3 linked regions of the Tribolium castaneum genome follow. The protein of the gene in region 2 interacts with the protein of the main gene of each other region in a pairwise test. Links are inferred from orthologs where the notes say so. Each region holds a gene or a part of one and is shown on either strand. Other genes may lie near its edges. The genes, in order: alphaCOP, beta'COP and betaCOP.

Region 1 (3,652 bases), on a different chromosome or scaffold from region 2:
GCTATACAACGACATGAAAATACTTTCATACGGTTCAAAATTGACAATTCCTAATTGGTCATGAAGCAGCCGACAAGCCGATTCAAATGATCCAGCCATGACATGATCGGCCGCAAGTTGTGAATTTTTCGTCCATGCAAGTGTCGGGTTAGGCCCTTGAGTAGGCAAATGAACGAAACTTTCAGCTGACTGTTGCGTTTGCGACGGCCCCAAATCAGGAATTTCCAAATCGGCGTCTTCAACATCCCAACCACCTTCACCATCGGCTGGAGCCGCATCGTCAGACTTACGTTCGTTGTCCACGTCAATCTCCTCATCGTCGTCACCCCAACCACCGACCTCCTCATCCAAAGCCTCAGTGGAAGGTTCAACCATCAAACTTTTTATATTCGAACTGGCTTGGACCATTGCGTTAGTCTCGAAGAAGCTACGACTGACTGTCAACAGCGGCCAATTACTCTCAGCTTGTTGAATTGGAGGTGGAGGAATGAAGAATTTTGCATTGGGGTCCACATCGGGCACTTTTTTCTCATTTCCGATCAAAATTTTTAACTCTTCAGCTTCTTCCTCGTAGCCGTGAGTTGCAGCAGTTAAATACGCTAAAGACGTCAGGTTTGACTGCTTCAAAACTCTTATTCTTTCCTCAACATCACCAAGTAACAAAGCGCCATGATACTGCGAAGAGCGCGCTTTGCGAATCTCAGCAATTTTCGTCATTTTGCGCAACTTTTCCAAATTTCCGGTGATCAAATAAAGAAATGACAATTTCTCAAAGCTCTTGGTTCGTTGATAGCACATTTCAACCACTTGGTGGTTACCGTGCCACAAAGCGGTTTGTGCCAACTGCTCCCAGCAAAGTTTATCGTTTAAAGCTTTAGCCGCGTCTAGTGCTATCTCAATGTTACCGCATTCAAGAGCTAAAGTGAAACGAGTTTTGTCATCTTTGACAAAGTGCAAGGCCACTTCAGGGTAACCCTTTTGTTGCAAATACGAAATTATTGCTTGACCAACCAAACGCGAGTTTTTGACCATGAATAAGACTTCGTCGTAGCGGTGGTGAATCAGTGATAATTTAAACTTGTATTCTGTTGGATCAATTGTTAGGACACGAGGCTTGCATTCACGGTCCAAGCAAAAAACATGCTTTCCTTTAACTCGAGTGATGTAAATAGGCAAGTCGAGAGTACGAATGATCCCATGGTCCCTAAGTAAAACAGCAGAATTTAATTTTACATTAAAATTTTTTTATAGAAAAAAATTACCCATGGATCAAAGTGTATTTAATATGATTGCTAGTGGTGTAAATAAAAACACCCGAATCATCCCAAGCCCCTGACTTGACTCTTGTATTTTCGTGCAGGGAGCACAATACTTCCAACTTTCGGTTACAAATAGTAACTGTATGTTTAGCCAATAGTGCGATGAAATTCATATCGTGAGACCAAACAACATAGCGGCATTTGTTGATTTTAACTGAAATAATCACAATAGACTAAACGACAGTTACGATAGATGACTAATACCTTGATCTTGAGTCCGTTTCCTTTGAACATCAAACAAAGTCAGATGTTCCGGATCTCTCAGTAGTAGCATTCCAGTCCCAGCATAAAAAATCTCATCACACGGTGGCGTTTGCACCTTTTTGTGGACCTCATTTTTCAAATTTTTGATGACAAGTTGATGTGACCTGTCCAAGACGGCAAACCGATTTCGGGCGACCCAAATCGCTGTCAATCCTGATGATCTTTTGCTTTCGGCTTCCGGGACTTGATCATCACGGTCCGACTCTTTCGCGATCGTATACAAGTCGTAAGTGCTGTTATCCAAATTCGAAGACCGTATTGATAACAAGACGGCATTTTCGGCCGGGTTGAATGACATTCTAAAAACAGGAGTCTTGCCGCCACCTCTAATCTGAAGTACAGGAACGTCTTTCGACGTATTGAAATCAAGTTTGCGTAAATGGCGGTCTTTAACGTAGTAGAGGAAGTTTCTATGTACGGTGTATGCCGGTCTTTCACGCTCTAGTTTGAAAATGATCATGCCTGTATCATGACCGGCCGCAAATAAATTTAAATTGGGATGAGCTGTCAATACCCAGAACCGGTCATGTTCCCTTCGGAATGTATGCAAATAGTTGCGCTTGGCCATATCCCAAATCCGGATGCTTTTATCCTCACTGTTTGACAGAAGAAGTTCCTGACGAGGATGGAATAAAACGCACGAAACGTTATTGTAATGGCCACGGCATGTATCAACCTCCCAAGCTTTGGAATCATTCATTCTCCATAATTTAATTTGGCGGTCATCAGCCCCGGAAACAATGAGTGGTAAAGTAGGGTGGAAACATGCCCAATTTACTCCGCGATCATGCCCTTCGAGGACATGTTTGACAACGGCATCAGCTTGCCCAAACAAGTCGGTACTACCGGGATTTTTTAAATGGTCCTCCAAACCTCCGGGTCCAGGAGCAACATTCTTTTTCCGCAATCCTTAAAACAAAATTATAGAACGCGTTATAGAACGCTATCACATGATAAAATCTACCAGAAATGTCCCAAACGCGGACAGTCGAGTCGAGAGAAGCGGAAACAAGTAGGTCTTCAGAAGGGTGGAATTGCGCACACATGACGTAGTGATTGTGTCCGGTGAGGACGCAAATGCAAGTCCGACTTTGCCAATTCCATATGCGAATTGTTTGATCGTCGGAAGCCGAGACAATCCAAGGGTACTCATGATGGAACATTGTAGTACGAATGTAATCGAGGTGACCGAGAAGGGTGAAAATGCATCGTTTTTGTTTGTAATTCCACACCTAAACAGTATCGTTAGTTGTGAATTGGAATTTGATATTAAATCAAACGAATACTTTGATTTTATAATCGTCACCACCAGAGACGAACAATGGCTGCTGATTATGAAAACAAATGCCTCGGACAGGTCCATCGTGTTCGTCGAATTTTTCAAGTAAAGTACACATACGGTAATCCCAAAGTTGAATGGATCCATTATGCAAGCTGAATTAGAAAAAAGAAAAAAAAAACAATTTATTAAACGTTGCAAAATATTTAATTGTGGGTAAATCGTAAAAGGTCGAATTTAGTAATGTGATGATTTATGGAGCAAGAGGATATGTAAAATGTAGATCATTATTGTTTCATTATCTAAATAGTAAATTGCCAAATAAATCTGGTATTAGAGATGTGGTCTGGGCGTTGGCCATCTCGTGTTGTCCTATGATCTACAGAAGGAAAGGTCACTTTCTTCTCTTTCTTCATACTGTACTTCATCGATTTCCAAAAATTCTGTTACTTGAGCCACTTATCGGAAAAACAATAAAGAATAATAACCGCTTGCTCACCTTCTTTTACTATAAAATTAGCAACGATTTTAAAAACTAAAAAACTGTTACGAATAAAGTTTGATCGCTAGATAGGAAATATCAGTTGTCCTAACAACTTTATGAATAATTTGAAATATTATTTTTATGAAACAATGTAACGCATGAGTAACGGAAATTCATAAGTAGGCATAAACGTAACACTCAATTAAAACAAATTAATTATTTTGGACAATATCAGTGACACCTCGAATGTTTTTTACACAAGGTTAGACTCAAGCTAAAAAAAAGTTTTTGTAAAAATCGGGTTTT
Region 2 (4,424 bases):
AAATATCAAGAATTTAAATTTAGAAGATGTGCCGTTAAAAGAAAAATAATTATGTTCTTTGTATATCAAACTGAATATTCATTGTTTTCAGCAAAAAAGACATTGGCAAGTTAAAAAACAACTTTATTATAAATAATAGTACTGAAAGCACTTATTACAACAGTGAAAACCGTTCCTCTGTATCTGCTCTCTAACTCAAGTTATTTCGATTTAAGGCTGAAATTATGACGTCATAACCGCTTATCAAGCATTTGGTCCAATATTTAGATCAAATGGTTTTTGACTGTTCACCCAATAAACACGAAACATGTATTGTTAGATGATTTACATAAATCTTTTTTTTAGTCTACAATAACTACAATAATCGCTATTTTTAAAAACTTGGAATCACGTAACAATAATAATGAGACCGAAGTGATATAACAATATCACAATAATCGCCTATAACATGTAAAACATGCGGAATTATCAAAATACAACCACCTCATTCGAAATCATTATGTGCAGGCACGACAACAATTCATAAAGAAAAAATATTTGTCACAATGAATTTTTTATATATTTTGTTTTGTTGAAATTATATTTGTTTCTGTTTTTTATATAAATAATATATTTTAGTTCTACAACATGATATTGTTTAAATGTTTCTTATACCATCCTGAAAGTGAGTGAAATATACCATAGAAATTTCAATGAAATGTTTCTAGTGAATCATATCAAGAAGAAAATATTTGTTGTTTCCCAGACGTTTCATTAACAAACTATGCTCAAAGGTCAAATGTTTCATTTAACAAAACATTGATTTCAGTAATGTTTATGACCTAAAAAATGTTTACTGGGAAGTGACAATGACTAAGTTTATCAAAACATGACAAAAATTCTCAGATGTTTTCGCGAAGTTCACGCCAAAATTTAGAAGAGGAATTAGTCGTAATTGTTGGTTGATTTTCTGGAAAATGGGTGAAAAATGTTCAAATATCTGTCAGGTTTGTGGCGATTGAGAGGATTGTATGATGATAGTCTAAGATCTTTTAGAGAGTCTTTTAAAATACGGCAACTGCTTTATTAATTCAGAAAATAATTTTGAAAACTGAAAAAAAAATCTAATAAAATCTAATCTAGAACTCTAAGAAAAAAATTTCCCATCAACAATTCATTCTTTACTCCCAAGTGTCCACTACATGGCCAAAAGTATTTTATTTTCTCTTTAACACTTAGTGTTGATGAGAAATAATTTTCAAAGAGAACTAGAGGTAATCCGCAGAGAAAATCAATGTACAAAATTGAAGAAACCAGGGAAAATCATTATTAAATCAGAGAAAATCTTGAGTAAATCTGGTGTACAAAATTTGGGGTGCAGTTTATACTTCGATATTACCTAACAAATCATACAACCCAAATTGTTCTTTATAATTTAAATTTTTAATAATATTGTTGATGCAAGTGGCTATAAAAACTTATGGTCTCAACAATATCATGAGTATGTTTAATAATTTCCATACTTAGATGCTTCAAATATTGTGAAACGTAGATCAATGTAAGCAGAGCAGTCTTAAATTATTTCCCATTAGGGCGGAATCTAATAATTTAGAATGAATTTTCAAAGAACTATTATTTAAATCCAGCTAAAATACATAATAAAAATTTGGTATCTCAGAAATTTCTCATTCAAGTCAATACCTAACACTTTATGTTTCCGAAACAATTCTTGTTTGAATGAGTTTCCAGTATTCTCACACAAAATGCTTCATAATGTGGACGATTTTCTTTAATGTTTTTGGTGTTGATTTATTATTTACGTGATTGAAGCATAAGTTTGAAGATTCCATGGAATCTGTTCATATAAAAAGCAATAACCAGAGTGAAACTACAGATTAACACCAAAATTACTCTGTTCTTTACCAATTTCTCAAAGGTGAGACAGTCTTGAGACTTTTGACGAATGTTCAAAATTGCAGCGTGATTTCAGAAAATGTCGGGCCTTACAAAAGTAAAGTGCCTGTTTATATACATTTTCTATACAAATCTAACACATGACGTGAGCTTTAATAAACACCTCTTTTGAGCATACCCTTTAACAATTTTATTTCTTTACAATTAAGCGTAAAATTTGGACAAAAATGCACTTAATAAGCCTTTTTAAGGGTGAGCCTTTCACGTAAGTAATGTGGTATAAGTCCTCTCTGGAGTGTCCAATCTTTACTTGTGACCTGTCAAGGTCTCTAACGCTGCTTGAGCATATCCACTGGCTTTGGTGTTACTAAAAACTCACCGCTCCCTGTGAGGATGTAAGGCTGTGTGGGGTGGATCACAATACACCGCACATAATCCGAATGGGCCTCAAAAGCATGTACACGATCCAGTGTATTATAGTTAAAAACACGAATTTGCATGTCGTCCGAGCCGGCAATCACCCAGTTCTTGCGGGGTACGAATTTTGCGGCACGTACTGGTAAATCACAAACTTCAAAGGTTTTGACTAGTTGTTGATTTTCGTGATTCCAGACGTTTATATTGCCGCTGTATAGCGAGCAGAGCATCCAGGGCTCGGTCGGGTGCAAGTCGACGCATTTTACACGGTCGGAACGCGCCGTAAGTTTGCGTTTGATGTCCAGACGGAGGGGCTATAAAATTTAGGTTAACCAAAAGCGGGGACACCAAACGCAACCCTCTTACCATGGTAAAGGTGTAGATATCAACAATTTACTTTTCTATTGAGGGGTTTGATAGAAAACACGACTTGCCATTTAAAAAACAACCAAAATACGTGGCCCGACAACTTGGCTTGACGTTGACGTTTGGCGAGGTGGATTTGTCCAAAAACTGCGAAAACCCGTCTAACAAATTAGTTTAAATTACTACAACAAAAAAAGCAATTTGTTTTATTTAACAATGGTTTATTAACCTATAGAAATAATTATAAAATAATTAAATAATTATTTTTGACAAAATTGTGCCCTATCTCATTAGTTATAATTTAATTTATTACAATACAAAACTACTTAAACACGGGCATTTTTATTGGTACTAACGACGTCTAGCTGTGCCAAAATTCTGCATTTTAATTTACGTTAATTAACGTTATTTTAGATTTGATGTGGTGATTGTTGTCCCAAATGCGTATTTGAGGCAATGGGGCGACGTTCCTTTGACAGCGCGAGCAATGGCGTCAGTTCGGAATTTGCGTTTTGTGGTGTTGTTGTAGTCTATTATTGTAGATTTTTTAAGTGCAAACCTTAGTCTTAAGTTTAACCAAAAAACCATGTTATTTTGTTCCGAAAAATTGCCAAAAAGCTGCCAAGGTTTCATTTTTACACTTTGCAAAACCTCCTAATTACCCTCTGTTCAGTTTTAATGCAGATGCGTTTAACGTAACAAATAAAGTTTTTTATGGGTAAATTTAAAACCTGCGAAATATGAGTGACGAGGGCAAGGAGTCCCACAAGTCCTTGCCTCTGGATTTGGCCAGGACCCAAATAACCACCGTTCGGACAGTGGAAGGGAAAGCCCCCTTGTTGATGACGAATCAAGGCTTGCGTGGAGTGCGTGTCCTGACTCAGGGAACGCCACCAAACTCGGGCCAGGCTTCTTCCAACGCCCAAACAATAATCACAACTAATATTGTCCCCACCGTGTTTAAGCCAGGTTGGTGTGTCCGAAGCCATGTGATTTGTGTGACTGTGTTTGTTTTTTAGATGCTGCAAGGACTCAAATTGCGAGTATTTTGACGACGAGTCAGCCGCAATCGAGTGCTGCTAACATCACTATTCAAAGACCCACCCAAATCACCCTTTCGACAACTCCGGTGGTACCATGTGGTACTAATTACCATGTCCCACGGGGGCCCGCAGTCGTGGCGAATTTGGCGGCCCCTCGCAGCAACGTGGCGTCGGTGCGCGCCCCCATGGTGGTCACGGCGCAAACAGGCGGCCAGGTGAATAATTACTATATTTTTTATTGTGAAAACTTTTTGACGTCTTTTTACATTTTTTCGAAGTTTTTTTTAGTTTTAGAGCTATTATATCAAATGCTTCCCTACTACGGCGATTTTTTTGGCAAAAAATGAAGCTTTTTATTTATTGTTTTGAAAAACTCAAAAACCTAAAGGAATTTTGAAAAAAATGTTATTGAAAAATGATCACATTTTTAAAGCAGTTAATGATGTAGTAACCACTTTTATCGTATGGTGCATAGTTTAGACACAAAACGCTTGGTTCCACACTTTTGTCCACTTCTACTACATAAAAATACAATATAACCACAGTTAATTACTTACCTTTTTACTCGTTCATATTCTTGGAAGTGAACATTAAAAGAAGAAATTAATCTAAATGTATCGTTCATTCCAGAAAGGGATAAGTAACATTTTTGGCCATTTTGAGGTGCACGTTTTTTTTGATTATTTTCTTTATATGATTTGCAAA
Region 3 (4,138 bases), on a different chromosome or scaffold from region 2:
GCAACGAAACTAAAATCTTTCTTCATTAAATAATTAAATTTATTAAAATTAATTTAATTAATTATATCTTGGCCCCAAACTGTCGCTGGGATAATTTTCACCATATCACAAAATTTTGGTCTCACAATTAAAATTTAAAAGTAAACCGTCAAAGATAAAAATATGGAAAAAGGTATAAGGAAGCAAAGTTTTCTCATTTTTTCGGCGTTTTTCACAAGAATATGAGCGTAAGGTGAAGTAAATAATACCGATTGTTTGCTGTCATTTTGTGTCGCAGTGGCCATAATTTTTATTAACAATGTTTTTCGGCATAGCAATGCTTTTTTGATTTAACCAGCTTCTTATACATGTTTGAATATGTCATATAATATGACTTTTCTTTTTTACTCGTAGTAATAAAACGCTCAGATACAGTGAAATTTAATAAAGCTTTATAACAATATTTAATAATTTTTTCAGAAACCTAACGTGATGAAGTACATAAGAGACACGTATTAAATATCAGAAAAAAATCATGTTTATTATAATAAGTAAATCAACCAAGTCGAAGTTCACCAATTGCTCTAAATTGGAATGAGTCCAAAAATCCAAAGTGGTTGTTTTCTCAAACAGGCCAATCACAATGCGTATTAATACTTACGTTAATTAATAATTTTTTTGCTTCTACTCATCGCATTGGAAATGACGTAAGACGAAAGCATCATCTTTCATAAAAAAAATCGACCGAAATGTGACCCAGATATTTTAATTAGATGACCTTTTCATGATTTTCATTCATAAAATATGGACGCACTAGTAATATTGTTCGTATTTTTTCTTTTTTAAAAAATTGTGACTTGATTTATGTCACGACAGAACTCAAATCAATGATTATACGGAAAAGAAAAATTTAAATTCGATTATTTCTTGCAGTTTATATAGAAATAAATGCGTAATCATTAATCAAGTGTGCGTCATTTTCGATATTTGACGCTCCAATGATTAAACACATTCAGATAATAATAAAACAAAATTAATAATCAAACGAAATGCATAGCAAAACGTTTGATTACCGACAATTGAGATCTTACAAATAATCTAATCAAATAACCATGAAATAACCCAAACAACCGTTCTTAATCGAGAGTTGACTTACGTCAAACGTCCAATTTTTCAAATTTTCAAAGAATTTTCTTACCTCAATGATGAGCGGCTGCAAATTATCGAATTTCTGAATCGCCTCTCTGACGAAGATCAGAACATCAACGGCTGCAAGCTCATTTGTATCAGATAAGAATTCGACCAAAACTGGAATAACAGTTGCTGCAACATCCGGAAATCGAATACAACAAGAATGCAAAGTCCGGACTAGCAACTGTCTATATTTTCCGGTATCTTCATGCTCAACATCGTGCGTTTTCGCAACTTCTTTCTTCAAAACCAAGACCATTTCTTCGATATTTCGCGACGAAACCAAATCCATCGCCAGATTAAGAGTCTTTTTGCGCACCTCCAAATCAGGACTCGACAAAACCCTCAAAATATCCATAACCAAGTCTTGAAGAACCCTTTCGTGAGTTGGGTGGTCTTTGAGAGCGATCAGACGGTCCAAAACAATGAGCTTGACATTGTTGTCGCTTTCCTTGATTATGAGCTCAATGTAGCAACTGGCGGCCGCTTTAATCGCCGTGGGGGCTGTGGAGAGCGTGACCAAAGTCCCCGCAGCCTCATACCGCACAGCGGGGCTGCTCGAATTGAGCAAATTGTAAATACAGCGGATGAACCTGGACCGTTCAGACGGATTGCTGTGGCAAACTTTGTAAATCAATTCGACAATAACCAACTGGAGGATGTCCCCGAAGGAGGTCACTTGGTCCAAGCACGAGGCCAAATAGCTCAAGGCGCGCTCCTGATCTGCGTGGAGCAGCATGAGGAAAGCGTTCCGCTTACACGACATGTCTTGCTCCCCGTCCAAGTAATTCGAAATCAACTCTGGAGCGTCCGGGATCAAAAATTCGAAATTTCGGTAAATTGTGAAAATCGCAAGGACGGCATTGCGCCGCACGTAGGAGTGTCTGTGCTCCAGACAGGCCCGGATCGAGGGCATCAGGGGCTCCAAAAGCTCGGGCTCTTTCAATTTGCACAAGAAGCGCAAAGTTGAGCCCCTGAGAAATTCGTTCGGGTGTTGCAAATCCTTGCGGTAGGCGTCGCAGACGAGGATCATTTCCTGGAGGAGTTTGCCGTCGGGGGAGGTCTTAGGGACGATCTCCCAGAAGATGAGGAGTAGTTTTTTGGCGGTGTGGTCTTGCAAAGGGAGGACGTAGCGGATTATGGTCATGAGGAGGCCCGGGGGCAGGCGCTCGCCGGCCAGGATCATGTGAATGGTCTTTTTCAAAGCTTCGACTTTTTGTTTGACGTCGCCCTTTTCTAGAAACGGGCGATAAGAGAGGATAGCGCTTGGGGGTTACCTACCTAGGTCTATCTTAAGTTGCATCTCATTGTAGGGTTCTGTGTCGGTGGGGACGTTTATGAGGGTGTAACAGGGCTGTTCGACTGCAGTCATTGTGGAGATTTACCTGGAAGTGGGAAGGGACACGAGTTAGGGTTAGGGCGTAGAAAGATACCAACAAAAGTGTTAACGTGAAAAGAAATGCGAAACTGTATTATCGTGTGAGAACAGGTTTTTCATACCACTTTAACTGAGAAAAAACACTTATTTAACACAAAACACGTAATGTTAATATTTTGGAATTAAATGTCAACGACGTGTCAACCTATTTTGACACTTGACAGAACCGGTAAGCAACCTATTGTACGCGCGTGTTATGTAACCAGTAATACAAATTCTTTATGGAGTTGTTGTTGTAAAACAATTTTACTTATCTTGATTTTGCATGCATTTTATTAATAGCGATTTTGGAGGATTATAACTTTGGATATATTAACGACAATATTTCTAACTATTATCGTCAATATTATTTAAAATAATAAATAATTAACCCGGCGCATCCACCATTTTACATTTAGTATTACCTATTATAATTAATTTATCGGTAAAAGTCACAAAACTGACCATTTTTGTGGCTATACAGGATGGTCCGCGAGTAATAAGGAGTTAAAAAAAACAGAAAAAATGTTTGAATTTTTTTATTATTACGTTTACAATTTGGCGCCTTTACGTACTTTTAGCTTTTGCCGCATTATTTTTTTATTTCTGTCAGTTTTATGCTCCGCTTTATGTTTATACGTCTATGTGTTTTTTTATTCTCTTATTTTTGTTTACGTGTTGTTTCACTTGCCTTTTGTACAATTTTTTCAATGAAACAAGTCACATCTGATCCGGGTTATAAATAGGTATAGGGATGTTATTCGAAGTGTGAGTGTGAGATTTTATGACTTTTACTCCTAACAACGTAATATACTATTGATTTATTTTAATCAGAAACACATAAATAAAGAATTTTGAGATTAAAATGGGTAATAAAAAACTTGAGAATAAAATAAAACACAATTTATTTTTGTATTTTTATTATAACACCTTAAACATCACAATGGAATGAATACTGGATAAAAATCCATAAAACATTAATACAGAATAAATACATATTTAAATATACATCTTTTGATTATGTTACGACGAAACATGAAATCACAGCAAATGTGGTCATTGGTTAATTGATAAAGCCGTACAACTTCGTCCCAAACTCGTGTTTTATTGTCTCCGTTTGCAAAACGAGCGTGTTTCCTCTAAGACTCTCATCTCAGTCTTAGTCAAATTATCCAAAACTGAATCATTTCAATAACTGGCATTATTCCCTCTCATCGAAATACTCATCCTCCTCTCAGCCCTGACACTCAGATCCTGCGACCCTCCCGTCCCAATGGGCGGATACCTCCACCTCCAGGGCCTCTGCTGCAGGTGCCCATCCGTGGAGGCCCTCTCCCTAAAGGGAACACTCTCTCCCGGACTGCTCGCACTGCTCTCCTTGCTCTCCTCCTCATCCTCCTCCTCCAACTCCACTTCGGTCCACCGCCGACTGAACATCCCCATCCTACAGCTGGGGATAAGTCCGCTGGGAGACCCCGCCGACGAACAAAGCAACTTAACGCTGTCAGGACTCATCGGTTCCTTCTCACTTCCACTTCTCCGCATCTTGGG

Evidence for each region.
Region 1: the proteins of beta'COP (region 2) and alphaCOP interact in a two-hybrid assay, tested with the Homo sapiens proteins (2 studies listed by BioGRID, with this or other methods). The link is inferred for Tribolium castaneum from reciprocal best matches to the Homo sapiens genes COPB2 and COPA.
Region 3: the proteins of beta'COP (region 2) and betaCOP interact in a two-hybrid assay, tested with the Homo sapiens proteins (2 studies listed by BioGRID, with this or other methods). The link is inferred for Tribolium castaneum from reciprocal best matches to the Homo sapiens genes COPB2 and COPB1.

The regions. Positions count from the first base shown.
Region 1 is NC_087403.1:711,355-715,006, forward strand, and holds part of alphaCOP (coatomer subunit alpha), read right to left. Parts: intron 3,018-3,652; coding exon 2,870-3,017; intron 2,816-2,869; coding exon 2,548-2,815; intron 2,493-2,547; coding exon 1,524-2,492; intron 1,474-1,523; coding exon 1,263-1,473; intron 1,205-1,262; coding exon 1-1,204. UniProt on the Homo sapiens protein: The coatomer is a cytosolic protein complex that binds to dilysine motifs and reversibly associates with Golgi non-clathrin-coated vesicles, which further mediate biosynthetic protein transport from the ER, via the Golgi up to the trans Golgi network.
Region 2 is NC_087398.1:12,745,653-12,750,076, reverse strand, and holds the start of beta'COP (coatomer subunit beta'), read right to left. Parts: upstream 2,837-4,424; 5' UTR 2,680-2,836; coding exon 2,677-2,679; intron 2,625-2,676; coding exon 2,273-2,624; intron 1-2,272. Other genes in the region: histone deacetylase complex subunit SAP130, read left to right, coding at 3,417-3,645, 3,696-3,934. UniProt on the Homo sapiens protein: The coatomer is a cytosolic protein complex that binds to dilysine motifs and reversibly associates with Golgi non-clathrin-coated vesicles, which further mediate biosynthetic protein transport from the ER, via the Golgi up to the trans Golgi network.
Region 3 is NC_087397.1:6,599,193-6,603,330, reverse strand, and holds the start of betaCOP (coatomer subunit beta), read right to left. Parts: upstream 2,808-4,138; 5' UTR 2,671-2,807; intron 2,556-2,670; 5' UTR 2,543-2,555; coding exon 2,452-2,542; intron 2,407-2,451; coding exon 1,178-2,406; intron 1-1,177. Other genes in the region: uncharacterized protein LOC664374, read right to left, coding at 3,776-4,138. UniProt on the Homo sapiens protein: The coatomer is a cytosolic protein complex that binds to dilysine motifs and reversibly associates with Golgi non-clathrin-coated vesicles, which further mediate biosynthetic protein transport from the ER, via the Golgi up to the trans Golgi network.